Linked DNA regions of Canis lupus familiaris. The protein of the gene in region 1 interacts with the protein of each later gene in a pairwise test. Links are inferred from orthologs where the notes say so. Each region holds a gene or a part of one and is shown in the gene's direction. Other genes may lie near its edges. The genes, in order: PCBD1, HNF1B, HNF1A, TFF3, FXR2 and NTAQ1.

Region 1 (5,066 bases):
CAGTTTAGCGCAGCCTTTGGCCCAGGGCCTGCCTGATCCTGGAGTCCTGGGATCGAGTCGGCGTCGGACTCCCTGCATGGAGCCTGCTTCTCCCTCTGCCTGTGTCTCTGCCTCTCTCTCTCTCTCTTTGTCTCTCATGAATAAATAAAATCTTTAAAAAAAAAACAAGTTAAACATACGCTCTGCCCCATGACCTAGCCATTCCACTCCTAGACATTTACCCAAGAAAAAGGAAAGCATCTAAATGGACTTGGACGGGAAGGTGCACAGCAGCTTTATGTGTAATAGTGAAAAACTGCAAACCACCCAAAATGTCCATCAACAAGTGAACAGATCAACAAATTGTGGTATATCGATACAACGTAACACTACAGAATAAATCTTACTTAGCCCTAGAAAGGAAGAAACTATTGATACATGCAACCACAGGGGCGAACCTCAAAGTAATTATGTTGAGTCCTAAGAAGCCAGACACAAGAGCATACATTGCACGGTTTGCATTTACATAAAATCCTAGGAAATGCAACCTAACGCATGGTGACCGGAAGGAGAGGAAGGGTCGCCAGGGAGGGAAGGGAACGTGCAGGGACGCGGGACGCGGGGTGTGTAAGAGCTTGCACGAGAGCTCACAACTGCCAAAGGCATCAAACTGTGCACTTTAGTTAGGTCACCACGTGAACCTGGTGCTTTTAAAAAATAAAGAGGTAATGTCGCGTCCGGGGGGACACGGCCCCGTGAGCGGCAGAGCGCAGATCAGACGCAGAAGTCCGCGCCCCGGGGCCGCCCCCCGGCCCCCGAGCTCCCGGGAAACGGAGCCCGGAAGAAAGTGCTGGAAGGGGCAGAGGCCGAGGTAGCGATTGCCCGCCCTCCCCGCGGCCCGGCCCCGCCCCCTCGCGGCCCCGCCCCCCTCGGCCCGGCCCCGCCCCCTCGGCCCGGCCCCGCCCCGCCCTCCCCGCGGCCCTGCCGCCCGCCGCCACCTGCCGCTCGGCCGCGTCCGCACCTGCGCCCGGTCCGCACCTGCGCCGCGCCCGCCATGGTGAGGGGTCGGGGCGCGCGGGGTCCGGGGGAGGAAGGGCGGACCGCGGGCCGGATCGCGGGGCCGGATCGCGGGGCCGGACCGCGGGGCCGGACCGCGGGGGCCCGTCCCTGCGAGCCCCTCGCCCGCCCCCGGGCTCCGGGAGCCGTTTCCCCGCCCCGCTGCCACCCGCGCCCCCGGCGGTGGCCCAGCGCGAGCTGAGCCCGGGAGAGCGGCGGTGGCGAGAGCGGCGGTGGCGCGGCCGGGTGACAGCGAGCCACAGCCCGGCCCGGCCCTGCTCCCGCCCGTGTCCCGGGGCGCCCCGCTGCTGCACGCGGGGCGTGGTTTTGGGTGGGGGTGGAGAGGCAGCTGGTGAGCCCGCAGACACACACCCCCACCCCCCCAACCGCCGAGGCCGGTTCTCTTGCACGGTGAGGGGAGGGCGCGTCTGTGTGTCTGAGTGTGAGTAGCGGGGTGGTCGGTTCTATGCTCCTCTGCCTTCCGGGCCCGCCCTCCGTGCACCCGGGCCTCAGAGCCTGCCCCCGTGCCTCGCTTGAGGCCAGGGGGGCCTGATTGCACGGGGTCAGCGCTCCTGCAGGCGGGGTGTCCCCCAGGAGGGCCCTGGCCCTCTGCTCGGGCCCTACTTCAACACCCTTACCCTCGGGGAGGTGAAGGGGAGCCCTGGCAGGGGAGGAGAGGAGCCTCTAGACCCAGGACGGCTCTTCTAAACAGCCTGTCTCTGGTCCCGAAGCCTCAGGAGCAGTCAGGACTGCGGTGACAGCTGAGAAGGCACTTGGAAAGCTGTGGCTTGGAGGGACGGCCAGAGGCCAGTTGTGTGGTGCACAGAGGCCCCAAAGATGCAGGGCAGGGTGGGTAATCAGTAACCCGAGCGAGTGCACACTCCCCCAGATGGCCTGGGCCAGGCCTGACCTGTGATTTACTAAGCAAACACTGCCCCTTCCCCCACTTGGATTCCAGCTCTCAGAGGGGCTGGGCATGTCCGCCCCAGGCTGTGAAACTTGGGGGATCCTGGAGGACTCTCAAGGGCAAGGGGTACCTCCTAGGAGCTCACCGGTACCCACCTACTTCTTTCTGGGCCAGAGAACTAATAAGCAGTGGGTTCTGATGCCTGGGCTGACATCATTCATCAGGTTGCCTGGATACACTGACCAGGCTTATCAGCCACTGAGAAAGGGCCAGCTCTGGAATGGAGCAGGGGTTGGGCACAGGATGCAGATCTCACAGAGCCAAGCTCAAGCCAGATCAGTCAGGAGAAAACAAGTGTTTTCAGGAGGGAGGGAAAGATTGACTTAGAGGAGGCTGCAATGCTTTCCAGTTGGACCCCAGGCCTGCAAGGCCTATCAAGCCAGCCGGCCCCAGGGAGTCTCCTTTAACGGATGCAGATGGCACCCCCTTAGTAACAGGGGAATTTACTGAAGTGTCCCACTGGCTCCTCTTGCTGATCTGAAAGTGGAAGTTCTGGGTCCCTTCTGGCTCTGGAGCCCAGGGAGGTGAGTGCCCCAGGGCCACCTCACTGGAGAATGGCAGATCTGGGGCCTGAACCAGTCCTGCCAACTCCCCCCAGGGCTGCTTGTGAAGCTAAATTAACCTCCCTCCCATCCTCCACCCCACTTAGTGGCTCGCTTTCCCTCAGCCCTCTGGAGTTTCTGTTTCAGCAGTTTCAGTGCTGGGATCCCTGATGCAGTGCCTAGGTCTGGATCCACCCCCCCAGGAACAGAACCGGCTTTTGCCTCCTTCTGTGCCTGAGGGTTCCACTCTTGGCCCATACCCTGCAGGTCTGGGCTGCCTCGAGGGCACTTTGCACACACAGTAGGTCAACAGGCTGAGGCACTAGGTTTGCCAGTCGCCCTCGGCCAGGTTAACTTCCACTTTGGGTCTGAGCTCTGGCTCAGGCTCCCCAGGCTGACGGAGTAGAAGAGAAGGTGGGGATCTGGAACCCCTAGGCCTGGCAGCTAGTACTGAGGCTGCATGGGGGCATGATGAACACCCACTGGGAGGTAGTTCCAGGGAGTGTCAGAGGTGGTGTGGCCAAGAATCAGCTGGAAGGTGTGGTCAGTGCTGGCTCCTTTCCCTGGGGGGCCTGGGATGCAGACTCAGACCCGCTTTGAGAATGATGCCTGTGCTCACGGGCTGAGGGGGATGTGCGTGTGTGTTTGTGTGGGGGAACCGTGCTCTTTTTCCCTTTCCAGGCCTAGATTCCTTGAGTAGAAGGGTGGCCATGGGGGTGAACTGGATACAGTCCACAGCAGGAAAAGGAGGCTTAGACCGTCGTGGGTACTCTTTCTGAAAAGTTGGGTAGTAACACATTTGCATCTGGGCTTGGTTTTGCTTTTACTCTCATTATCGTAAGAAACCTATGGGGCGGGGCTCTGTCGGGCTTTGGGAGCAGGGGTTGGGGGGTTGCTGAGCCCCAGTGACTTACATCACACCTCAGGATTTTCTGACCTCTGAGCAAAGTGTCAAAACCTAAGAACCTATCAGTATGTGAGCCAGGGCCCCACCTCCAGGGCCGGGTGCCACCGTCAACAACTCCCTGTGGTTGCTTTAGGCTGTGCCCCCCCAGAGCACCCGCGGAGGTTGCCTGAATGCCCCTCGTGACCAGGGCCCTCCCCTGGGTCCTGTAGAAAGAAGGCCCGTGGGCCTCTGTTGCCTCTCCTAGGCTGGCAAAGCGCACAGGCTAAGTGCTGAGGAGAGGGACCAGCTGCTGCCAAACCTGAGGGCTGTGGGGTGGAACGAGGTGGAGGGCCGAGACGCCATCTTCAAGCAGTTCCATTTCAAAGACTTCAATCGGGTATGTCAGCGGATGGGACAGTGTCTGAGACTGGGGCGGATGGGGTTCTCTCCCTCAAAGCCCTGCTACCCAAACTACCCTAGTCAGGTTGACTTCGAGTGTCACCCCTGGGGAGTGGGAAGCTGGGATCTGGGTTCTCCATATACCTGGAACTCTTAGAAACGATCCTCAGAGGAGATGGGTCAAGTAGGATACAGAGGTACATTTTAGCAGATAACCAAAATCTGGCCAAGACTCAACACCTCTGCGGTGTTTCCACCGTAAGGCAGGGTCCTAGAACAAGACGTTCCTCCTACTGAAGGGCCACCTTGAGCTGCAGTGCAGAACCAGCCATGGGTTGCTAGGGGGTGACTGAAGCTGGCCAGTCCGGCTCCCGCACCTAGGCCCTGCACCACCGGCCTCCCTCTCAGAGTGCTAACCTGCGTCTCACTTCACCACCGCAGGCTTTTGGCTTCATGACGAGGGTGGCCCTGCAGGCTGAGAAACTGGACCACCATCCTGAATGGTTTAACGTGTACAACAAGGTGAGCGGTGCGTGCCTGCCGTGGCCGGCCCGGCTGAGTTCTGAGGGCCCTTCCTAGGGCTTCCCTCAGCGCCTCCCAACCAAAGTTTGCCTGTCTGCCCCTCCTGGTCCTTTGGGCTCTTTCCTAGAATCATCAGGAACACCCCTGCCAAACGGTCAGGCTCACTACAAATTAAAGAATTGCACGTGGAAACACTGAGAGGACTCGCGGGCGGGGTAGACAATAAGTAGACGATAAGAAGGCGGAGCCCACAGAAGGCAAGGCTGTGGGGAGGGGCCACGGTCCCTGCTGATAGCTCCCAATGGGTTAGATCCTCCTGGAGGTGCGGGGGAATGAAGAAGTAGGAACCTGAGCTAAGAATGAAAAAGTAGGAACCACGCTCCACAAGCAGACAGGACTGACTGCAGGCGAATGCGCGCGGCCATTCAACAGCCACCACGTGCCAAGACGGGAGGGTTTGCACTGCTGCTAGTGACTCTTGGGAGGAGCCCCCAGGGGAGAGAGGGGTGCCAGGGCCCGTATCTCTGGTTTGATTCCAGGTCCACATCACCCTGAGCACCCACGAGTGTGCCGGCCTTTCGGAACGGGACATAAACCTGGCCAGCTTCATCGAACAAGTAGCGGTGTCCATGACCTAGGCCCCTGCCTTCCTCTCTGAACGCTTCAGGGGAAGGGGGTGACTGAACTGGGAACCCAGGGAGGGAATCGGGGAGCC
Region 2 (4,340 bases), on another chromosome or scaffold:
AGGCCCCCTTTAAACTCTGGGTTGATTCACCATCCAAGGTGGCCACATTCTTAAGAATTTGTGTTTCTGACATGAAGCAACTCTCTGTAATTCCTGGAAGGTCTGAGAACATTCTCAGAAGCCACAGTCTCCAAAAGCCAGAGAACATGGGCCTGCTCTCACTCCAATCCAAGCCTCGTGTGGCATCTCCAGTTTGAACTGCTTCCCTGTGTTCAGTGGAAATTCTCTCAGAAAGGAGAGGAATACAGGAAAGGCCAGCTAGAAGCCATAGAAAAAGATACACGTCCCAGAAAGTTTCTCAAGATGCTTGAGAAGAGATAGTTTACAAAAATATATGACAGTCCCTGCAAGAGATTTTTAAAATTACCATTATTATCATTTTAAAGCCATACAAGACATAAACCTTAAGAAATATTCCTTCATTCTGTAAATATTATTTGAACACCTATTAGGTGCCAAACACTATTCTGGGCTGTGAGATGCACAGGCTTTTTCTACAAGTACTTACCACCTAATGGGGGAGATGACATGTTTGAGTAAATAATGACAGCTGCTTTCTAAGAGCTGTTATAAAGATGTACACAAGAGGCAGCAGAGGAATTGCTAAATGGCCTGAAGAGATCACAGAGGGCTTCTTAGAGGAGGGAACGTTGGAACCAATTCTTGAAGGATGAATACAAGACACTCAAGCATGGGATAAAAATTAGCAAGTGAGATGGAATGTGTAGGAGAAAGGGGGGAGAATTTTAAAAGAGGACATAAATTTTCTCGAAAAACTAAAAATGGTAATATCAGTGATAATATTTGTGGGCCCATCTATACATAGAGAATCTGCTTGTCCAAGCTGGCTCCCGAGCCTATAAAGAGGTTGCTGAAACCAGCTTCTCCAAGTTAATTTTTGTAGGCAGCAAATGTTTTCTGTCTCCCTGCTTCCCTCTGTTAATCTAGAAGGTGAGGAGAGGTGGTGGTGGCTGGAGGATGAGACGAATTCTAGTTCTTTAAAACTTGAGGGGCTAGGACCCTGAGGTGGGCAGAACCTGGATATTTCCAGGCACCTACAGTCAAGTCATCCTGGCCTATCCTGGTATATGCTGGGTCCTGAACATCATGCAGGCTGCCTCGTCGGAGGGCGGCCAGCAGACAGAGGCAGCCTTACACTCCAGGCAGCCATGAGTGAGCCTCACACCCACCACAGACAGAACCTGAGTCAGTTTTTTGTTTGTTTGTTTGTTTGTTTGTTTTTAGTCAGTTTTATTACCTTCACCCAAGTCAGACTTTTAAGGTTTTGTGGATGTATTGTTTGGCTTTGGTTTTTAGCAAGAAGTGATGCATAGGCTGCTGATAAGTAGCCCCAGTGTCTGTAGGCTGGGCCCATGTCTGGCCTGTGCCCCACATCCATGTGACTTTGGGCAAGTCACATAACCAGTGTGAACCTCAATCAGCTATAAGATGGAGAAGACAATACTTCTTGCATGGAGAGGGTGTGAGAATTAGATGGAAGGATATGGTCAGGGGACCTTGTATGATACCTCCCCTCGGTATAGGTTCATTGTCATTACAGAGCCTCATGTGGGTCCTGGGTCCTTGGGATTATCCATAAAGCTTTGGCTCTTACTCAGGGTGATGCCACAGGGAGGAGGGAAGACCCTGAGACAGACCTCCTCTGAGCAGGGAGCTTCTTTCTCTCCCTCTTACTGTCCCTAAGATAACTGTAGGAGCTGGTGGCCATGGAGACCAAATGACATAAGACGTGTGAAAGCACTTTGAAAAACATGGCCTCCCTAGGAATTTGGGTCCCCATCATCATCCTGACTAAAAGTAGATGTTCTGAAAGACTACTGAATGAGTACTAGGTTTTCATCCGGTCCCATCCCACAGGCAGGGAAGCTGCAAGAGGGAGCAGTTAGGTGACACGGCTGGGGTCCTCCATTAGTCAACTGAAGCAGTGGCTTCCTGCCAATAGATCTAGAAGAGACTGTCTCAGGATATCTAAAAGAGTTGTTGGGAATCAGTGAACACAGAGCCGTAAGTGGCCTGAGAATCATCCAAATCGAAGGCCCCAGTGACATAGTCCATCCGTCAAGGAGACTGCTTAGAATTTGGCCCATCAGCAACCAGTTCACACAAAGCCCAGCACCGCCTGTAACTGAGTCCTCAGTCCAGGCTGGTTAGAGGCCCACTGTTTGAGGATGGACCAAAGTGGAAATGGATCTTAAGATTGGTAGTAAGTTCCCCATCACTGGAGGTCCCTGTGGTAGGGTGTCATAGAGGGGATTCCAGCATTAAATAGTGGCCCAACTATGAACCTTGGAGAATTTTGGATCAAGTTGCCTCTGAGACCTGTAGGAGTAACTCCAAGAACCAAGAAAGAAAAACATCAAGGTCCAGAAGATAGGAACCAGGAGTTAGGAAATGAAGTTGCTATGTGTCCTTGCTCAGCAAGGTGGTTGGCCTCTATGCTTATTCATCTGTAAAATGGAACTAATGACTCTAAACCCTGCTTTGTGTAGATACAAGGAAGACAATAACAAAGTTCTCTTATCCCACAAGTAAATATCAGATCTCATTTAAACCATATGAGCTAGGGTATCCCCACAGGGTGAACTGCCACCTTTCTTCCATTCGTTCAACAAAAAATATATTGAGGGTCACTATATACCTGGATCCTGGGAATTGGAAGGACAGGGAGCAGCACTTCATCTACATTTACTTTTGTCCAACTCATGAAATGCCATTGCTAGAAAGGTCCTGTGTTTGCAGTCTTCTGCATTTGCCATCTTTCAGAAGTGTAGGCAAATCTGTTAAGACCTTTCCCTCACCAGCTGTTCCCCTCATAAATGAACCCCCTGGATACACATACACACACACACACACACACACACACACACACACACACACACCATTGCCTTTGAAGTTATCTGAAACCAGAGAGCTTCTTTTCTTTCTATTATAAAACTTCACTTATATTTATTTCAAAGTAATAGTGAACAGGTTTTGGGTCTTGGGTGTTTCTAAGAACATAACATCATAATGTAGATACCTAGGATACATGAGGAGAGAGGGGAAGTGGGGAGAGCCTATTTTAGTCTCTAAATATTTTGTCTAAGTGAAAATTTACCTTTGAGCCTTTACCTCTAGACCCAAGACATGGTTGAGCTCATCCTCTTGGACACCAAAATGCAAGAGTTCAGGATTCCAGAGGGTTGCTTCATGTCTGAGGGCCAGTGAGCCAACGAAAACACGTTGCCACTAAAACAATGGTTGGCCACATTTGAGCTCCTTCAAACAGAGAAAAGGGTTGGCTTTGGTGGAGCAAACTGAGGTGGGCAGTGAGGGGACCTGTGGTGGGCTTTCCCCCTCTGTACTCGCACACACATACAACAACTGCCGATGGCAAAACTTAGGGGAGGGGAATAGCGGTGTTTTTGTCTGTCTGTCTGTCTGTCTGTCTGCCAAGTGAAGGCTACAGACCCTATCAAATCTACTCCTTTCTCTTTTCAGAATTCAACCAGACAGTCCAGAGTTCTGGAAATATGACAGACAAAAGCAGTCAGGATCAGCTGCTGTTTCTCTTTCCAGAGTTCAGTCAACAGAGCCAGGGGCCTGGGCAGTCCGATGACGCCTGCTCTGAGCCCGCCAACAAGAAGATGCGTCGCAACCGGTTCAAATGGGGGCCCGCATCCCAGCAAATCTTGTACCAGGCCTACGACCGGCAAAAGAACCCCAGCAAGGAAGAGAGGGAGGCCTTAGTGGAGGAGTGCAACAGGTAACACCACCAGAAGCTCACTTGAGCAGGTGGGCAAGCACATGGACCTGAAATCCATCCCTTCAATCCAGGGATACTGACGTACTGGTTATCCAGCTAAGTGTGGCTACAGCAGGGTTTCCCAAAGTGTGTTCTATGGCACCCTGACATCAAGTTATTTTTTTTTTAAAGATTTTATTTATTTATTCATGAGAGACATACACAGAGAGAGAGGCAGAGACACAGGCAGAGGGAGAAACAGGCTTCATGCAGGGAGCCCGACACGGAACTCGATCCCGGGTGTCCAGGATCAGGCCCTGGGCTGAAGGCGGCGCTAAACCGCTGAGCCACCTGGGCTGCCCCTGACTTCAAATTATTAACAAATAAGTTTGAGAAATACCAGGTGCATGCTTCCTCTTGGAGAGTCATGACGTATATTAGCATATTAAAGACTCTGAGGAGACCTAGAGTCTAGAAACTTTCTTAGCTTTATTGATTGTTAGGCATGGAATCTTTTTTTCTGGGGGGATACTTATACTATGAACTGTTATTGAAGGCAAGATACTTTGGAGAAGCCTGATTTAAAATATGATGC
Region 3 (4,340 bases), on another chromosome or scaffold:
CTGTTGTACGGAGCTGCTTTCATCATATTTGTAATCGGGCTCAGGAGAGGACCAGGGCAGGAGAGGAGGGTCGAGCCAGAACAGGAGACGGAGAGAGAGACGTGCAGTGTAGGCAGTCAAGCCTGTCCCCCTGCCATTCCCCACAGTGAGCAGAGGACAGGAGTGTGATCGTAGATGGCTGCAGATCCCTTGAGTTTCTCCAGTGAGAGGCTCTCAGCCCACAGAATGAGATTCGGGTGCTCAAACACACATGTTTTTTTGTATGAAGCCTCTGAAGACCAGCCCCGTAACTCCATCACCTGGACCTGGCTGCCCCTGTGCTGTAGGGAAACTGGCCAGGCCACAGCCTGGGGTTTAGTGCAGATTTTCAGGAGGTGTCTTGACTCTAGGTGATTTTTACCCCATAGATTGACTTAAAATGGAATCCCTTCAGGTGGAATGGGACTGTTGGGCTGGCTTTGTGACCTTGGGCAAAAGATACAAGCACTCAGCATTAGTTAGAGAATCATGTTTCTCTCCTTGTTTTCAGACCCATTTTTTCCCCAATAGATCTCCCTCACCCATCCATTCATACAGCCATACCCCATCCCCATATCCATCTACCCCTTCCATCCATCCATCTACTGTCTATTAATCCATCTATCCATTCATCTATCCACCCATCCACCCATCCACCATCCCATCTACCTACCCATCCACCCATCCACTCATTCATTCATGCATTCACCATGGACATACATTATGTCAAATCCATTTTGGGTGCTGAGAACCGTTCCTGCCCCCACAATGTTTACAGGCTCTCCCAGTGGATAAGACATAGTCACAAATAACACTTCCAGGTAGGGTGAGGGGAGGATCCTTAAAGGAGGTACAAAGGTGAGGACAACCCCCACTCCCAGGGCTCACGGGCCCCCCAGCCGTGCCGGCACCACTCCCGCACCCCCCTTGCTGAGTAGGCTCTGTCTTTGTCCTCTTAGGGAGGACCCGTGGCGCGTGGCCAAGATGGTCAAATCCTACCTGCAGCAGCATAACATCCCACAGCGGGAGGTAGTCGACACCACTGGCCTCAACCAGTCACACTTGTCCCAGCATCTCAACAAGGGCACCCCCATGAAGACACAGAAGCGAGCTGCCCTGTACACCTGGTACGTCCGCAAGCAGCGAGAGGTGGCCCAGCGTAAGTAATGACCACAGCCCCGTCCTCCCTGGCAGGGCCCTGGACTCTCTGCAGCTCAGGGGTGGGGACTGAGAGCTTCTCCACCACATTACCAGGACTGGGTGCTTGGGGGGGAAGTCAGGGATTCAACGGGCACTTCTTACCTATTCTGTGCAAGGCACTCTGGGGAGGGGAGTAGGTTGGTCCTAGGTATTTGGAGGTGCATGAATTAGATCTCTGCCTTCTGGGAACTCTGCGTAGAGGGGAAGCCGAATAGATCATTATGATACAGCGAGACAAGTATTATAATATGACAGAAACAACAGTAACAGCTGGTGTTTGTGAAACATTCACCACGTGCCAGGCCCAGTGCACAGTAGTACTACATAAAGTATTTCAAAATACCGAGCCAGCAGAGGACCAGAGAGTAATCTGTTCTTCCACAGGGAGGCAGGGGCATCAGGAGGGACCACACAGAAGGAGAGCTTTCAGACTAAGTCTTAAAGTCTGAGTGGAGTTTTGGCCTATGGAGATGCAGGGAAGGGCGTTTTGGGCAGAAGGAGTGGCCCAAGTAGAGGCTCAGCGGCAAGGGAGGGTTTTCTTACTGAGACTTCACACCCCACAAAATCCCAAGTGCACTTTCACATTTTTGAGCCTATGTGTAAAAAAAAAATGTTTTTAAATTTATTTTTAATTATCCAAGTTATTTTTTAAAAAGGTAACACAGGGGCACTTGGGTAGCTCAGTGGTTGAGCATCTGCTTTTGGCTCAGGTCATGATCCTGGGGTCCTGGGATCGAGTCCCACATCAGGCTCCCCACAGGAAGGCTGCTTCTCCCTCTGCCTGTCTCTTTGCTCTACTTCTCTGTGTCTCTCATGAATAAATAAATAAAATCTTAAAAAAAAAGGTAACAAACTTAGTTTCAAAAAATAGGAGAAAATAGAGTTTACAATAAAAATCAGGTGTCCTCCTAAAGGACATTCCCAGTCTTATGTATCCTTCCAGAGATATTTTATGCATATACTAGCAATAAATAATATATATTTTTTTCTCTGCTCTTTGAAGGGCTGCTAGCTATTCCGCTATTTGGAGGTACCATATTTGTTTAACTGGCTCCCTACCAAAGTACTTTTAGGGTTTTTCCAATGTGCTGTTATAACCAACTGCTTCAGGGAACATCCTTCTTTGTATATATTTGTGTTCTCACGAGACAGTGTCTGTAGAGTAGTTCCTAGATGTGGAATTCTGGGTCAGAGAGTAGGTACTTTAAAATCTTTGCTAGATATTCCTGTAGTCCTTTATGAAGACATGGTCACAATTTGCATGTTCAGTAATTAAAAAAATAAGCTTTTCTCCCCATGCTTCCTAAACATTTATTAAAATATTAAAGTTCTCAAATTCACATATTGGTTTGCACACTCATTAATATTCATTTATTTACTTATTATTTATTTTATAAGCTGGAAAGTTTTCTGGGTCTTTTTTTTTTCAATTTGGAAAGTTTATTAAAGTGAAAAGTGGGTAGTCCCGGTGGCTCAGCGATTTAGTGCTGCCTTTAGCTCAGGGTGTGATCCTGGAGAACTGGGATCGAGTCCCACGTTGGGCTCCCTGCATGGAGCCTGCTTCTCCCTCTGCCTATGTCTCTGCTTTTCTCTGTGTGTGTGTCTCTCATGAATAAATAAATAAAATCTTTTTTTAAAAATAAAGTGAAAAGTATACTATTGAGATATGAGAGTAGGTGAGCTTGAGAGAAAGAGCAAGCTACACCTCATTTAATATTTATTATTAAAAAAAACAAAAAAATATTTATTATTAATTAATTAATTTTAATTTTAATTTTTAATTTTTTAAAATATATTTTTAAAGACTTTATTTATTTATTCATAGAGACAGAGAGAGGCAGAGACACAGAGGGAGAAGCAGGCTCCATGCAGGGAGCCCGGGTATCCAGGATCACGCCCTGGGGTGAAGGCAGTGCTAAACCGCTGAGCCACCCAGACTGCCCTAATTAATTAATTTTAAAATAATTTATTTATTTGACAGAGAGAGAGCACGAGCAGAGGGAGTGCAGGCAGAGGGAGAGGGAGAAGCAGGATACCCATTGAGTAAGGAGCCTGACTTGGGGCTCAATCCTAGGACCCTGGGATCATGACCTGAGCCAAAGGCAGACACTTAACTGACTGAACCACCCAGGCGCTCCTAAATATATTTTTTAAAGATTTATTTATTTATTTGAGAGACAGAGTACAAGTGAGAGGGGTAGAGGGAGAGGGAGAGAGTCTGAAGCAGATTCCACACTGAGCGCAGAGCTGATGAGGAGCTGGATCTTAGGATCCTGAGATCATGACCTGAGCTGAAACCAAAGTTAGTCACTTAACTGACTATGCCACCTAGGGGCCCCTATTTATTATTTTTAAAAGATTTTTAAAAAAGATTTTATTTATTTATTCATCACACACACACACACACACACACACACGCACACAGAGGCAGAGACACAGGCAGAGGGAGAAGCAGGCTCCCTGTGGGGAGCCCGATGCAGGACTCGATCCCAGGACCCCTGGATCACCATCTGAGCCAAAGGCAGATGCTCAACCACTGAGCCACCCAGGTGCCCCCCACCCTTTTTAGTATATGTGCAGCTGAAGTGAGCATGTGTCCCTAATTTTTTGTATGTGTCCCTAATTTTTAAAGATTTAATTTTTAAGTCCTCTCCATACCCAATGAGGGGCTCCAACTCACAATCCTGAGATCAAGAATCACAAGCTCCACTGACTGAGGCAGCCAGGTGCTCCCCCTCATTTTATATCTGTTGAGCATCTGCTACTTACCATTTTCTACTGAATGCAAAAAGCAACTTTTAAAAGCTGTGATGATCGTTTATATAATTTATTTTTTAAAACTATGATATTGGTAGGGGCACCTGGTTGGCTCAGTTGGTTAAGCAGCCAACTCTTGATTTTGGTTCAGGTAATGATCTCCAGGTCATGAGATTGAGCCCTGAGTTAGGCTCTGCGCTGGGCGTGGAACCTGCTTAATAACATTCTCTCTCTGTCTCTCCATCTGCCCTTCCCCAAACTATGATATTAGTATTATCAAGGGGCTGATTAAAACATTAAGTTAATTGGGGAGCCTGAGCGACTCAGTTGTTTAAGTGTCCAACTCCTGCTTGCAGCTCAGGTCC
Region 4 (4,784 bases), on another chromosome or scaffold:
GTTTGCGCTTTCCTGGGACCTGGCTCAGCTCCATGACCCTGCCGGGCCCAAGGATGTTGTGGGGAGTGGGAAGGCAGAGGTCCATCCAGAAGAGGCTCCCGGGGATTTTCTCTACAATGATCTTTTAATAACACGGCTCCTGTCATCTGTGAGCTCGGTGCACGCTCTCCTGCGGGGCGCAAAGCCAGGCCTTAAGACAACACAGACAGTGCTCTGCCTTCAGCCTGCACTTGTCTTGCAAGAGGGGTGCAAACCAGGTGGAGAGGGTTGGGTCCTCACGGGCTAGGCCTGGGCTGTCACAAGGTGGGACCCAACCCCCATTGCCAAGGCGAGCACAGCCAGGCCCCTCAGTCACCGCGTGGAGGACAGCTCTGTGGACAAACTCTGGGGTGCTCCAGGTCCCCCTCCAACCCTGCACCCCCACCTGGGCGCTGAGGTGACCAGCCAGGTGCACCTGCTTCCAGATCCTAGCTCCGCCTGGTCCATGAGAGGAAGCCCCAACGGGCACCTTATATTGTGAGCCTCAGTTCATTTCTCTGGACCATGAGCATAATTATTCCCATCTCGTTTTGATAGGTTGTGGTAAAATAATTTCCAGGATATGCCCTTCATTTAAAAAAAAAAAAAAGGCGGATGAGCAAATGTGTCTCATAAGTTCTCATTTGGGTTAAAAATGTGCTTGGAAAAGATAAAGAAAAAGAGAAAAAGAAAACGTGCTTGGATCTGGAGAAAACTTTTCTGGAAAAATACCTAAGAAAATGTTAAACAGGGCCGCATGGGTAGCTCAGCGGTTGAGCATCTGCCTTCGGCTCAAGTTGTGATCCTGGGGTCCTGGGATCGAGTCCCGCATCGGGCTCCCCGCAGGGAGCCTGCTTCTCCCTCTGCCTGTGTCTCTGCCTCTCTGTGTGTGTCTCTGATGAATAAATAAATAAAATCTTAAAAAAGAAAGAAAGAAAGAAGTGTTAAACACAGGTATCTCTAGACAGGGGAGGGCTTTATTTGGTATTGTCTGATTTTTTCAAAACCCACTGTATGCATCCTCTTGTTTTCAAAATATTACAATTTATTAAATTGAATTTCATTAAAATATTGTGTAAGTTTACCGAAGACGTTTATGAAAGTGTACTTAATGATAAAAATAAATCTTGCTGTCAACAATAAAAACAGAAAGGACGGGATTTTTAAGAATTTCGAGGAGGAAACGAGATCCGGGTGCACGGTGTGCCTGACTCGCCGGCGGGCCCCGTCTTTTCAGGTCCCCAAGGCCGGTCTGGGACTCCGGGCGCTGTGCTCACTGAGGAGGGAGCCTCCTGGACTGCTCCTGCCTGGGCTGCTGGCCACTGTCCGGCCCTGAAATGAGACTTCATCCTCTCCCCGAGGCCGGCCGAGCCTGGACCCACAGCCCTGCTCCCCGGAGAGGAGTGGAACCCAGAGACTGGAGTCTGGCCCCCCCGCTGCTTGCTACCGCCCTGGGGTCCGACTGCCTCTCGCCTTCAGGAAGACGAGCCGCTGGGGGCTGTAGGGCCCTGCGCCGGGAGAAGTAGGTGCGGCCAGAGCCAGAGGGAAGGGCCGTCCCCAGACAAACAGAAGCCAGAGGACCTGGGCAAACACAAGGGTATAAATGCGTCTTCTGGGCCGACGCGGCACGATCTCTGAGCGGTCGGGTCCCCAGAGCCCACCCGTGACCATGGAGGCCAGAGTGCTCTGGCTGCTGGTGGTGGTCCTGGTCCTGGGGTCCTCCAGCTTGGCAGTGGCTTACCAGGGCCTGGGTGAGTACTGCTCGGACTTCCTCTCCACTCCGTGGGAAGGAGGGGGCTGGTGGCAGAGTGGGGACAGAGGAGCAGGGGCAGGGACACAGGCCCCAGGCTCGGGGGGCCTCATGGGGGCTCGGGGCAAGGTGACCAAGCCCCCTCGTCCGTTAGTAACTGCCAATCACCGGACGCACACGGTCCCTCTCAGTAGCACCACAAACTGGATCTTGCTGTTTCCGTTTCACAGACAAGCAAACTGAGGCTCAGAAAGCGAGTGACTGGTCGTGGGCAGCCCTCCCGGGCAGGGCTGGAACCGGGTTAGAACCCAGGTCTGCCCGGCCTGCTGGCAGCCGCTGCCAACCCTATTGCCCCATCGCCCTCTCGGCCGCAGATTTCTGAATTACCATAGAGGTCTTTATGCGCTGTGCTGGCACGTTTATGGAACAGAAAGTCCGGTGGGAGCAGTTTCTTCCAGAACATTTTCGGTACACGCAGGCAGTTTTCACTCAGCGCTGGCACTGTGCCTGCAGGTGGGGGTGGGGGCGTGACTATCCCATCGACCCAAGTTTGAGGAAATTAGGGTGCGGCTCTTATCAGATGCCAGAGGCAGTGGTTCCCAGCTGGGGTGCCCCCCCGGGTCACCTGGGGAGCTGTGCACCTGCTGTAGCCCGGGATGCCCCCACCACGCCACACCGTCTCAGGGGTCCCAGTGGGAGCGACGTTCGGAGCTGCGGGAATGAGAATTTTCCGGGTAGCAGAGATAGGAGAGGATTTCGGGGATCTCCTGCGGGTTCTGTTTTCCTAAGAAAAATCCCGTCAGGCAACGAGGCAAACGTTGCAGAACTGGAGCCAACATAGGCTTGCTTGAGACACAAGAGTTGAGGATGGAAGGAGGTGCCGGGAAGGTGTGACAAACCGAGTAAATGGGGGACAGGGGGACACAGAAAAGGGGCAAAAAATAGCTCGCATTGTGGTCTTCTGTTTTGAGGGTGTATCATCTATTATACTATTTATTTTTTAAGGGGGGCAGTTTTTTGTTGCTCAAACAGTGAAGGGGAACTCTGTTTCTGGGTTCAGGGGCCCCCAGATTTCCAGGGGTTCCTGCCAGCTGGAGGGAACAGCGGCCCCGTGGGCTCCCCGACGGGGCCCTGGGGGCGCACGAGTGCGAGGGGCGCCCTGGCAGAGGCCAGAGCTCCCCCCGAGCGTGTGAAACCATCCACGGGCGAGGGTCGTCCTCAAGCAGATGCCGGGGTGGGGCTGGGGTCCTGCGCCTCCACCCCAGATGCTGGGGGAGGCTGCGCACTCGCAGGATGAAGTCAGCAGACCGACCCAGGCTGGCAAGGGCTCCGGGTGCTGACCGGGTGTCGTTTGGGACAGCGACGAACCTGTGCGAGGTGCCGCCCAAGGACAGGGTGGACTGCGGCTACCCTGAGATCACCTCCGAGCAGTGCGTCAATCGGGGCTGCTGCTTCGACTCCAGCATCCACGGGGTGCCCTGGTGCTTCAAGCCGTTGCAGGACACAGGTAAGCGGCCCCAGGGGGGAGCCCCCAGGTCCCCAGGAAGCCACGCACGCCCGGGCGGGACACCCAGCGCCGCGGCTTGTCCGGCGGTGGAGGCCTCGGTCAGAGGAGTCGTGCCCAGGGCAGTCGGCGGCCCGTGGCGGTCCCAGATGTCCCTCTGCTGAGGTTTGTGCCCAATCTAATAGCAGCTGTTCCGAAAAGATGTTCAGTCAAGGCACAACGTCGAGAGAACTAGTTTAAAGACTGTCTTGGAGGGAAATGGAAAATGCCCAGGCCTGGGAGGCCGGGCCAATGCCTGCAGCCGCGTTCAGCAAACACACCCCTGCCCTTGTGACGTGGTCCTGGCAGGGCCGACGGTGCAGCAGCGGGCACGGAGCCGGGTGCCCGTCCACACCCCGCCGTCTCCCCCCGCCCCGCCTCCACCGAGGGGCACAGGCGCCCTGTTCTTTTTTATTTTAAAGATTTAATTTATTCATGAGAGAGACAGCGAGAGAGAGTCAGAGGCATACAGGCTCCCCGCAAGGAGCCTGATGCGGGACTTGATCCCAGACCCCAGTGCCTCAGTGGTGCAGCGGGGGCGGGACACCCCTGTCCGCCAGGAGCAGGTGTCGGCGCATGCGGGTGGGTGCCGCCCTGGCTCCATCAGCACCCCCCACCCCAACATCTCAGGCGTGAGGCCTGCTATAAGCCACCTGGCTGTCCAAATGCCTTCTAAGGACACAGGCCCCTATTTGGAAGTAGGTCCCTTCCTGGAGTCAGTACCCGCCCCCTTTGTCCCAGGGTGATAAGGGAGTGGGGCCTCCTTGTAGCCGGTGCGAGCCGCCCCCGCAATCCCCATCGATGATGCCTGCCCCCTGGCCCAGTGCCCGGGGCCACCTGCCCCTTCCTGGCAAATCCAGGCAGAGGCCCACATAAGGTTTTGGGACCAGGAAGGGGTTGTCCATTGCCTCTTTGCTGGCTCTCCTCATTCCTTGGGGCCCCTCCATGTGGGGTGGGGGCTGAGGGTCCTACCCCTTCTCCTTCGGGGGCTGGCAGCCGCCCTGCTGAGGCCCATCTCTCCTATCACCTGCCCGAACCCCTAGGTTCCGGTGGGCTCTTCTTCGGAAGGTTGGACACTCAAAACACTTTCCCAGGGACTTGGGGTGAATGCAGCCCCAGGCCCTGACCTTGGAGCCTGTCTTGACCTTGAGAAGCCAGGCACCCGGTGGGTGGAGCCGAGGCAGGTCGTGGGGATGCAAGCCTGTGCTTTGTTTCCAGAATGCAGATTTTGAAGCAACGCCCTCGGCCCCGGACACCCTGGGAAGCAACCTCCCCCACTCCGGGACGCCCGCCTTGTCCCCTGGCTCATCCCTGCTTCTCTCTCACCCTGCTCCTGGCCAAAGCTAGCTCTGGGGCCTGATGTCTGAATGAATAAAGATCCCCGTACTCAGCACGAGGGCAGTTCCTCCTTCCTGAGACTCGATGCTCTTGTGTTTTATTTCTCCCAAGCGGCTCTCCTTTCTCAGCCTCACC
Region 5 (5,002 bases), on another chromosome or scaffold:
ATTGAGATAATGATACTTGCTTTTTTCTAAGAAGCATAGGTACCAAGCATTGCTGGGAAAGATTGGTATCCAGTTCAGATGAACTGTGTGAGACTGGGGACACATTTCTCTTTACACATACAAGTGTCTAACAGAAAATCTCTCAATCTTTCCCTTTACCCCGTGGGCTATGACAATGATAGACTTGGGTGAATTAGGGACAGGATGCTTTGAATCAGAGTTTGGAGTTGAGCTGAAAGCCAGGTGATGTGGATTTTGTGTTCTGGCCATGTTAGCATTTTCTGCCTCATGGGTCAGTTAAAAACAACAATAAATTCCTAAATTCAGACTAATCTTTCTTCAACTTTCAGTGCCATATAGATACTTATCCATTCTGACCTTGCTGCTGATTTAATATTCATGACTCAGCAAACTTTGGTGTGGGTCAAGGAATGTTTACATTGCTTCTAGAACTATAAATTTGGGGAGGCCCCTTTCTCCTGTCTCAGAATTGGGTCCTGTTTTTGATCATCTTCCACGATAGCACTGCACATGTCAGATCTGGAATATAAGTTATCCTGTAGCTATCCCACCAACTCTTCATTTTCTCCGGTACCTAAAAGTGTTTTAGTCTCTAGGTTGTACTCTCCTCATGAAATATCTGTTCACCTTTCAGGGCACAATCAGCCAACGTTCCAGACCTTGCCTGGATGTCCACATTCCTCTTCCTGTCTTAAGGAATACAGCATCCCCAGCTTCAAGCTGTGGTTTTTATCCAGACCCCTCCTGTTTTTCTCCCAGAACCCCCTCCTTTCTTTTGAGAGTCCAGGACTAGAAGATAGGGTAGAGGTGGGGAATAATTTTCTATCTTATTTAAGGAAACAAGTATCTAGAACGCTTGGGTACTCTTCCTCTTTCTGGTCCTAAGCCCTTTAAGCCAAAGCCGGGATATGCTGCAGCCACTGAATTGAGTCATTCTTTGGATCTAGTTGGCTTTCTAGAGATTGATTCACCTGCTCCTGCTCTCACCTGCTTATCTCTCACTTTCTACCACTGGTATCTTTGGAGGAAAAAAATGGATGATGTGGGTGAAGTTAACATGAGTTTGGGAAGAAAACTTGTTCTGGTGAGTATTTGAAGGAAAAAGACCCTAGAAGTTTAAGATTGTGTGGTGTTTGGTTGAACTGCTGAGTAATGTGAGGGGAAACTCCATTCTGAGCTATTTCTGCCTTGGGGACAGATAGTGGTAGCTAGGAAAAACAGGGTGGTAGTGCTACCTCTCCCTGAGGGCTAACCCTAACATGTTGGGGGAGAATGGGATTAGAACCATGGGAATATCCTTTGCGAAGAAGTATATCTAGGAGCGGGAATCTCTTCTTAAAGGAGGCAGACAAGTGATTCTCTTCTATCTCCTCCATGCTTTTTATCTCATCCCTAAAATGTTTTGAGAAGAGCTAATCCTCTCTTAAACTATTTTTCAAGTTTAGGGACAGACATTTTGGATAAAGAATTGGATAAAGAAAAAAAAAGAATTGGATAAAGACAGAAGGAGCTAGGTAAAATGTTTCTAGAAATCCACACAGACCCTCACAGAGGGAGAAAAGAAAAGGAAAGTGATGCTGTTAGGAGGGGAGGGTGGAGGATGCTCAAGGAGCTGAGAACCCAAGGGGGAAGAAGGACTCAGGCAAACAGTGAGGAGTGAAAATGCCTCAGAAGACTCGTGTGTGGAATAGCAAGCTTGGGTATAGGTGGAGCTGTACAAAGAGTGGAGAAAACATGGGGAATGGCAGAGAAAACGAAAGCACAGCTGAGCAGAAGGGCAGGCACCAGGAGGACCAGATGCCTTGGGCAGTAGTAAAGCTCTGCATAGTGAGGCGCCGCAACAAGATCTGATCCCAAAAGAAGAGAAGGATGGCCAGCTGGTATCAAAGAATGAAATCTGAGTTTTGGTTTTCCCACCGTAAGGAAACAGCAGTATAGTAAATGTTTACGTTCAACCAGTTCATTGAGGTGGTAATGATAGAAGTGTGCATTTTCGGTGTTTTCTCTCCTAAGCTCAGCTGTTACGCATAGCTGCAGAGTTCAGGAATGGTTCTTGTGTGTTAGACTTTTTGAAATCCCTAAATTTTTTTAAAAAGATTTATTTATTTGAGGCAGGGAAGGGCAGAGAGAATTTCAAACAGACTTACTGCAGACTCCCCGTTAAGTGTGGTGCCTAAAGCCCGGCTCGAGCCTACCACCCCAAGACCATGACCTGAGCCAAAATCAAGGGACAGACACTCAACCCATTGAGCCACCCAGGCGCGCCAACCCCTAGTTCTTTGTTAACAGTTTTATTGAGGAATAAATATTGAAGTGCATATGTTCGAAGTATAAACTGAGAGGTTTTGACTTAGATACCAGTCTACATATCTATATAGATACGTGTCAAACCATTACCACAATCAAGATATTTCCATCACTCCCAGTTCTTTCAACCACCAATCTGCTTTCTGTCTGTTGGTAATATGTTAATTTGCACTTCCCTGATTTTTGACAAAAGCAAAAAGGCAATTCAGTCGAGAAAGGGTAGTCTTTTCAACAAATAGTGCTCAACCGGACTGTCCACGGGTAAAAAATGAACTCTGCATATCTTGCACCATGTACAAAGTTTAACTCAGAGCAGATCATAGATCTAAATGTAAAATAAAAACTACAAAACTTAGGACGCCTGAGTGGCTCAGCGGTTGAGCGCCTGCCTTTCTTTGGCTCCGGGGATGATCCCAGATTCCCCGGTTCAAGTCCCGCATCGGGCTCTTTGCATGGAGCCTGCTTCTCCCTCTGCCTGTGTTTCTGCCTCTCTCTCTCTCATGAATAAATAAATCTTTTTTAGAAAAAAAGAAAAAAAAACCTACAAAACTTGTAGAAGAAATAGGTGAAAGCTTTGGGTGTTGGATTGAGCAAAATTTTCTCAGGAAACCAAAAGCTCAGTTAGAAAAGAGCAAATTGATAAATTGGACTTTCAAAAACAACAATCCCTAATTTTGAATATGTGAAAATTAGAGAAGGTAGAAAAATTGGGAGCATAGGATTGAACATAGAGCTTGCCTGTCTTTGTTGAGATAGTAGGAAGTGGACCAGCTATTCAGTCATCCCTGTTCCTCTCCCAAGTCATGGTCTCAATTTGGGGTGTGGGGGTCTTACCCTTTTCAGATTCGTAGCAGCGTGTCATAGTCTAGCATTCAGAAATCTCACATATCCTAAGTCCTGATTTCTCCTTCTATAAATTGTGTTCATCCTTTTGAACTTCAACAGTGTTCCAAGAATTCACTTAGGACCCAGGCACGAAGGCACCGAGTTTGCTCAGGTCTCTTGCTGCGTTGGGGAGCTATACCCTTTTCTCTCTTGGCAGATCCTGATGTCCTCTAGGTGTTCCAGGACAGCCTCACACTGTCTCATGGGATATTCTTAGCCTTGCTGAGTATTGTTGGTATTTTAATTGAACTCTGGCAAGTTGCTCAGCACAACAGGAGGCAGATAGATAGGGAGGCCCCTGTGGGAATTATAGTAGACCCATCAGTCTCCAGGCTGTTCTTATGCAGGTGATGTTTTCCCCTTCTGTGTCATTTGTCTCATCTTATTTGTGGATTTTGCCAGTTGTCTTTCCATGTCAGTGTCATTTCTTTTGTCCCTGCCTCAACTTCATATTCTTGCCCCAGTCCCCAGTACAGGTAAGTTTTTCTGGTCCTATCTTTAAATTTCTTGTGTCTCTATCTAAAACTCTAGGTAACCGTCTCTTTTCCCTTGATGGTAGTAAATTGTCGTTTTCTTTCTTTCTTTCTTTCTTTCTTTCTTTCTTTCTTTCTTTCTTTCTTTCTTTCTCTCTTTCTTTTTTCCCTTCCCTTCCCTTCCCTTCCCTTCCTTTTCTTTTCTTTTCTTTTCTTTTCTTTTCTTTTCTTTTCTTTTCTTTTCTTTTCTTTTCTTTTCTTTTCTTTCTTTTCTTTTCTTTTCTTTTCTTTTCACTTTGTTCTAAAATCCATTCTAGGGCTTTGTGAAGGATGTCCATGAAGACTCTGTCACCATCTTCTTTGAAAACAAGTAAGACCTTGGGAATAGAGAATCCAGCATACTAGGTCCTAGAAGGAGAGTGGAGAAGAGGGGGCGGCTGAGTCCTATGAGGCATGTAATAGGTGGGGGAGAGCCAGGGGTGTGGGTGGTCAACTTATATAGACCCCAGGAGAGGAATGGGCTGAAATGTGTGTGTGTGGGGGGGGAAACGGTTGACCTAGTATTTGGATTCTAGCAGGAGACAGAAGATACAGTGGAGCAGGGCTTAGAATTTAGCCTCTAATCACCAGAGAAGGTGGGAACTGCCCAGCAGAGGCAGTAACCCCTTCCTGAAGAAATAGCAACATGATCCCAAATAGCTTTCATGTCACGGTTTCCCTTGCAGCTGGCAGAGCGAGAGACAGATTCCTTTTGGGGATGTCCGGCTCCCACCTCCAGCTGACTATAATAAAGAGATCACGGAGGGGGACGAGGTGGAGGTAAGAGCCAGGGCTCCACCCCTTCTAAATGTCACTTTTTCCAGGATTCTGTGGTCTCCCTTGCCCTGAGACCAGTATCCCAGGCTCTCCTCTGGTTGGTTCACTCTCCTCCCTCTGAAACCCAGCCCAGTAGGCTGTGGAAGAGAGAAGTGCACCAGCTCCCTTTCCCTGTTGTGATCAAACTCAGGGAGCTTCCCAGTTTCAGGGGAGTTACTTTCCCGTTATGGTGACAGCACCCTCTGGGCTTTTAATTAGCTCCTTCCTCGTGTCTCCTTTGTTGTGGTATAATGTGCTTCCCAGGGTCTGAAAGTTGCGTTCATGATGTTTTCATTTTTTAATTTTTTTTCGTTCGTGATGTTTTTAGCTGGGCCTCAGTATCTCTTTATTTTCGGCTCCAGGTTTATTCTCGAGCCAATGAGCAGGAACCTTGCGGCTGGTGGCTGGCCCGGGTGCGGATGATGAAGGGAGATGTGAGTGATGGGAAGCACGGACCATAG
Region 6 (4,340 bases), on another chromosome or scaffold:
GAGTCTTACACTCGTCCATTGATCACGTTTTCAGGAATATAGGCATAAACAGTAAAGTCTGTCTCCTGAGCATATTCAGAGATCTGGTCACTTGTGTTTCTGCAATCTTATTTTGAGCCTGCCTTCTATGCCCTAACCCAGGGTTTCTCACCCATGGCTTTATTGACATGTGGAACGTGCTAATGTTGTGGAGGGCTGTTCTGTGCATTGTAGGCTATGTAGCAGCATCCCTGGCCTCCACTCACTAGAAGCCTGTAGCACCCTGCCCCAATTTGTGACGAGCAAAAACGTCACCAGATAGTGCCAAATGTTCCCTGGGGGGCAAAATTGCCTCAGTTAAGAACCACTGTTCTATCTTGTCTTAATCTATCAGATAGTGTACCTTATTATGTTTGCTCCTGCAGGTTTTTATAACTTGGAATAAGTGCCTCCTCTCTGTGTCTTTTAGCTTCTGTCAGATGTTATTTATCTGTTCAGACCCAGCTGAGTGATAATAGTGGTAACCAGTATTTGTGTGGCACTAGGTGGTTTGCAGAACATGTCTGATTCTCTTTGTACTCTTCAGATGTTGGTTGAGCTCCTCCTGTGTGCCAGGGATCCTTACCTTCATGCTTCTCTGATCTCAGCCCATCACCAGTAATCCTTGCAGAATCTTGACCTTAATGCTGCGTTGTTAGTTTTTCTGCTACAACAAAGTAATCAACCAGTAGGTTGGAACGTTATTATCACAATCCCCCCCCCCCTTTTTTAAAGATTTATTTATTTATGATAGGCATAGAGAGAGAGAGAGAGGCAGAGACATAGGCAGAGGGAGAAGCAGGCTCCATGCCAGGAGCCCGACATGGGGCTCAATCCCGGACTCCAGGATTGCTCCCTGGGCCAAAGGTAGGTGCCAAACTGCTAAGCCACCCAGGGATCCCCCCCCCTTTTTTAAAGAGGTGCTAGGATTCATACCAAATCTGGGTTTCTTCCTATTCCACCAGTAACCCCAGCATTTCCAAGTATAAGTACCCCCCTCAACCTTTTAAAAGTAGGCTCCATGCCCAGAGTGAGCCCCATGCAGGGCTTGAACTGATAACCCTGAGATCAAGGCCTGAGCTGAGATCAAGAGTTGGATGCTTAACCGAATGAGCCACCCACCCAGGTGTCCCCAGGCCCCCTTTTTTTAAACATCAAGTTTCTTGAGATCCTCCTACATGTTATTAATTGTACTCTTGGGAAAAAAATTGATAATAAAAAGGGGCTACAAATTCAGTGACTCTTAGTTTAAATTTTTATTTCTCTTTGTAACATTCACACATATTTGAAAGATAATAGACAAAGTTTGTCCAGCCACGTACATATTCAGCCTGCCAACAGTACTTGGGGTACACACAGATTCTTAAAATCTTTGTGTTAACCCTGTGCCCATCCTTAGGCCTGGGGGAAGGGCAACACAAGGAGAAACCCCTGACCTATATGCCCTCCATCTTCCTGTGCCCCTCAAAATCAATGACGCTTCCTTCTGTGCATCTTTTATGGCCTTCTATGATGCTTGCTTATTTATGGATCTGTATGTCTTCTCTCACTGTCTGCAAGCTCTAATTTATCATTACATTCTCCAACCACTTAGCATGGTGCTTTTATATCATGGGTTCTTGATGTCTTTGATCAACTCAAGAATGTCTAGAGGCTGGACAGACATGTCTTCTAAAAATGTGGTCTTAGAACATCCAGGGTTTTTTTTTTTTTTTTTTTTTAATTTATTTATGAGAGACACACACAGAGAGACACACAGGCAGAGGGAGAGGGAGAAGCAGGCTCCATGCAGGAGCCCAATGTGGGACTCGATCCCGGGTCTCCAGGATCACGCCCTCGGCTGAAGGCAGCGCTAAACCACTGAGCTACCGGGGCTGCCCAACATCCAGGTTTTTTAAAATGTAGCTAATACACGTCATATGTCATGTTGAAACTGTACCTTTTTGCTTACCCCATACTACATAGCCTATGGAAGTAGTAGCAGTTTCCTGTTTTTACCTCTGCCACTACTTTTTCTGTTAAGATTTCTTAGGTATCTTATAGAAAAAAATCATAGGAAAAAAATACACTTCATTTCGGTGCTTTAAATGTAGTCGTGCAGGTAGACAAGGTCAAAACTGCATTGAACGTGTGTCATAAAATGGTGGTAGTCCTTAGTGCCGTGTATGCCTTACTTTATTTTCAAGTGGCATAGTGTAGGTGTTTGGAAATTAGACTTTGACAGTTGAATCATGAGTATGAGCAGAGTGTTGATGCAGGTTGTTTTGAACGAAGGTGCTATGTGCCTCATTGAAAAAAAATAATCCAGGGGCTGAGCTGTGAATACTGCCAGCAGTGAATGTTTTTACCTGTGTGGGAGTGTGCCTGTGGCCACCAGTGTGGCTTGGTTTGATGCACTTGGCATTGCTTAGGTGGTTCTGACTACTGTTTTAAATATCTAAAGGCCTGTCATAGAGACATTTATCTGGGGCTGAAATATAGGAAGGTGGATTTTAATTCAGTATGAGAAAACTTTCTAAAAGTCAGGACCTCTGTTGTACCAGAGGGATGTAGGGAATCCCACTCAGAGTCTCTCTCCAAAAGAATTCCTAGGCATATCATGTAACTGCCCTCAGTCCTTTCCAGCCAGAAGCCCTCCTACCCAAAACATTATTCTTGCCCCTTTCCTAAGGGGAGCAGTGAACCAATATTAACTAAGATTTTTCAAGTGTTTAAAATATGATTATCCTCATTTTACAGGTAAGAAAAGTAGATACTCAGGTCAAGATGTTCAAAGCTTCTTACCTTGTTTAAGTGGCTGAGTTGGAATTCCAGCTGTGTCTCGAGTCACTGGACCCAAAGCTGTGGAGTATTGATGTAGCATTTTATCAGTTATAAAATGCCTCCATTTGCAAACACTGCTGGGGCAGGTAACAACTGCTGTGTTTGGAGAGAGCTCAGCACACAGTATAATTTGGGTAACACTTTGTTGGGGATATTTTAGAGGAGGGTCAGGCATCAGCTAGTTATTGAATGAGGTGGTGTTTAAAATCTCTTCCAACTTTTTAATATCCTCATCAGTCTTCTGTTCAAATTTGAAAGACACAGAGAGTCATTGTATAATTATGTTGATGAAACTATTATTTTATTTCAGTGAAGAAAATATCTGGAAGCTCTGTGAATACATCAAAAACCATGACCAGTATCCTTTAGAAGAGTGTTACGCTGTCTTCATATCTAATGAGAGGAAGATGGTAAGTTGGTGACTGATTGCAGAAAGAGAACAAGAGATTTAGGGTGATAGTAGAAACTAAATATAATATATGGGGTCAGTGCTGTCCTAACGTGCTTTATAAAATAAAATAACATTTTAAAGTTTATTTTTGAATGAGATTTTTTTTTCCCCTCATTTCAGGGCACAGTTGAGTTAGAAAAGTTAAGTCCCTTATTTGTAGGTCAAGAAATAGATGATGGTGTATTTACACAAGTTAAAGCTTTTTAAATTCCTTAGACTACAGCCATGTACTCTCAGGTTTGAAGTAAAGATGTTTTTGTCTCTGGAGTTTAAATAAAATTATGATAAACTTACATGAATTATTAAAAAAGCAAACCCTTAAAAAAAAGCCCTTAATATTTTGTAAAGCACCTTTTAAATTTTTTTTTAAAGATTTAGATTTTTAAGTAATCCCTACACCCAATGTGGGGCTTGAACTCACAACCCCGAGATCAAGAGTCACACACGCTACCAAATGATCCATCCTGGAGCCCGTAAAGCACTTTTGTAAGCATCATGTCATGCTAATGGAACCATGATAAAGTAGGCAGGGTTCAGATGGCTGTTTCTGTTTTATAAAGGAGGAGATAGAGACTCAGGGAGCTCCCATAACAATCTGGGAAACTAAGACTTGAGAATCTGCCAGGTCTTCTGATTCCCTGTTGAGGTCTCTTTCTACTCTCCAAAGAATATCAGATAATGAATTCTTGCATTTTCATTGTTAAGAATGCTTGGAAGGATTTAGATTTCTTCATTCACATTGATTGTTGGTTGCTTAGAAATATTTTATATTTTATTTATTTTTGAATTTTTAAAAATATTTTATTTATTTGAGAGAGAGAGAACATGGTAGAACATGAGTGGGCAGGGTGGAGCAGAAGAAGAGGGAGAAGCAGATTCTCCACTGATCAGGGAGCCTGACTCAGGTCTTGATCCCAGGACCCTGGGATCATTACCTGAACCAAAAGCAGATGCTTAACTGTCTGAGCCACCCAGGCGCCCCTATATTTTATTTATGTATTGCTTTAAGGGAGATAGTAATGGTTTAACTGAAGTTGTAGCTTATGAA

What was found.
Region 2: the proteins of PCBD1 (region 1) and HNF1B interact in binary tests that used the Homo sapiens proteins (3 or more experiments, as listed by UniProt). The link is inferred for Canis lupus familiaris from reciprocal best matches to the Homo sapiens genes PCBD1 and HNF1B.
Region 3: the proteins of PCBD1 (region 1) and HNF1A interact in binary tests that used the Homo sapiens proteins (3 or more experiments, as listed by UniProt). The link is inferred for Canis lupus familiaris from reciprocal best matches to the Homo sapiens genes PCBD1 and HNF1A.
Region 4: the proteins of PCBD1 (region 1) and TFF3 interact in binary tests that used the Homo sapiens proteins (3 or more experiments, as listed by UniProt). The two-hybrid records come from large-scale screens. The link is inferred for Canis lupus familiaris from reciprocal best matches to the Homo sapiens genes PCBD1 and TFF3.
Region 5: the proteins of PCBD1 (region 1) and FXR2 interact in binary tests that used the Homo sapiens proteins (3 or more experiments, as listed by UniProt). The link is inferred for Canis lupus familiaris from reciprocal best matches to the Homo sapiens genes PCBD1 and FXR2.
Region 6: the proteins of PCBD1 (region 1) and NTAQ1 interact in binary tests that used the Homo sapiens proteins (3 or more experiments, as listed by UniProt). The two-hybrid records come from large-scale screens. The link is inferred for Canis lupus familiaris from reciprocal best matches to the Homo sapiens genes PCBD1 and NTAQ1.

Annotation. Positions count from the first base shown.
Region 1 is NC_049225.1:22,451,350-22,456,415, reverse strand, and holds the start of PCBD1 (pterin-4-alpha-carbinolamine dehydratase), read left to right. Parts: upstream 1-1,760; 5' UTR 1,761-1,872; coding exon 1,873-1,884; intron 1,885-3,695; coding exon 3,696-3,827; intron 3,828-4,270; coding exon 4,271-4,351; intron 4,352-4,890; coding exon 4,891-4,989; 3' UTR 4,990-5,066. UniProt on the Homo sapiens protein: Involved in tetrahydrobiopterin biosynthesis. Seems to both prevent the formation of 7-pterins and accelerate the formation of quinonoid-BH2. Coactivator for HNF1A-dependent transcription.
Region 2 is NC_049230.1:37,448,219-37,452,558, reverse strand, and holds part of HNF1B (hepatocyte nuclear factor 1-beta), read left to right. Parts: intron 1-3,501; coding exon 3,502-3,766; intron 3,767-4,340. UniProt on the Homo sapiens protein: Transcription factor that binds to the inverted palindrome 5'-GTTAATNATTAAC-3'. Binds to the FPC element in the cAMP regulatory unit of the PLAU gene. Transcriptional activity is increased by coactivator PCBD1.
Region 3 is NC_049247.1:17,156,326-17,160,665, forward strand, and holds part of HNF1A (hepatocyte nuclear factor 1-alpha), read left to right. Parts: intron 1-977; coding exon 978-1,177; intron 1,178-4,340. UniProt on the Homo sapiens protein: Transcriptional activator that regulates the tissue specific expression of multiple genes, especially in pancreatic islet cells and in liver. Binds to the inverted palindrome 5'-GTTAATNATTAAC-3'.
Region 4 is NC_049252.1:36,523,215-36,527,998, reverse strand, and holds TFF3 (trefoil factor 3 precursor), read left to right. Parts: upstream 1-1,645; 5' UTR 1,646-1,687; coding exon 1,688-1,769; intron 1,770-3,128; coding exon 3,129-3,275; intron 3,276-4,529; coding exon 4,530-4,543; 3' UTR 4,544-4,577; downstream 4,578-4,784. UniProt on the Homo sapiens protein: Involved in the maintenance and repair of the intestinal mucosa. Promotes the mobility of epithelial cells in healing processes (motogen).
Region 5 is NC_049226.1:32,726,658-32,731,659, reverse strand, and holds the start of FXR2 (fragile X mental retardation syndrome-related protein 2), read left to right. Parts: upstream 1-1,944; 5' UTR 1,945-3,554; coding exon 3,555-3,689; intron 3,690-4,003; coding exon 4,004-4,056; intron 4,057-4,411; coding exon 4,412-4,505; intron 4,506-4,903; coding exon 4,904-4,975; intron 4,976-5,002. UniProt on the Homo sapiens protein: mRNA-binding protein that acts as a regulator of mRNAs translation and/or stability, and which is required for adult hippocampal neurogenesis. Specifically binds to AU-rich elements (AREs) in the 3'-UTR of target mRNAs.
Region 6 is NC_049234.1:22,159,332-22,163,671, forward strand, and holds part of NTAQ1 (protein N-terminal glutamine amidohydrolase), read left to right. Parts: intron 1-3,151; coding exon 3,152-3,251; intron 3,252-4,340. UniProt on the Homo sapiens protein: Mediates the side-chain deamidation of N-terminal glutamine residues to glutamate, an important step in N-end rule pathway of protein degradation.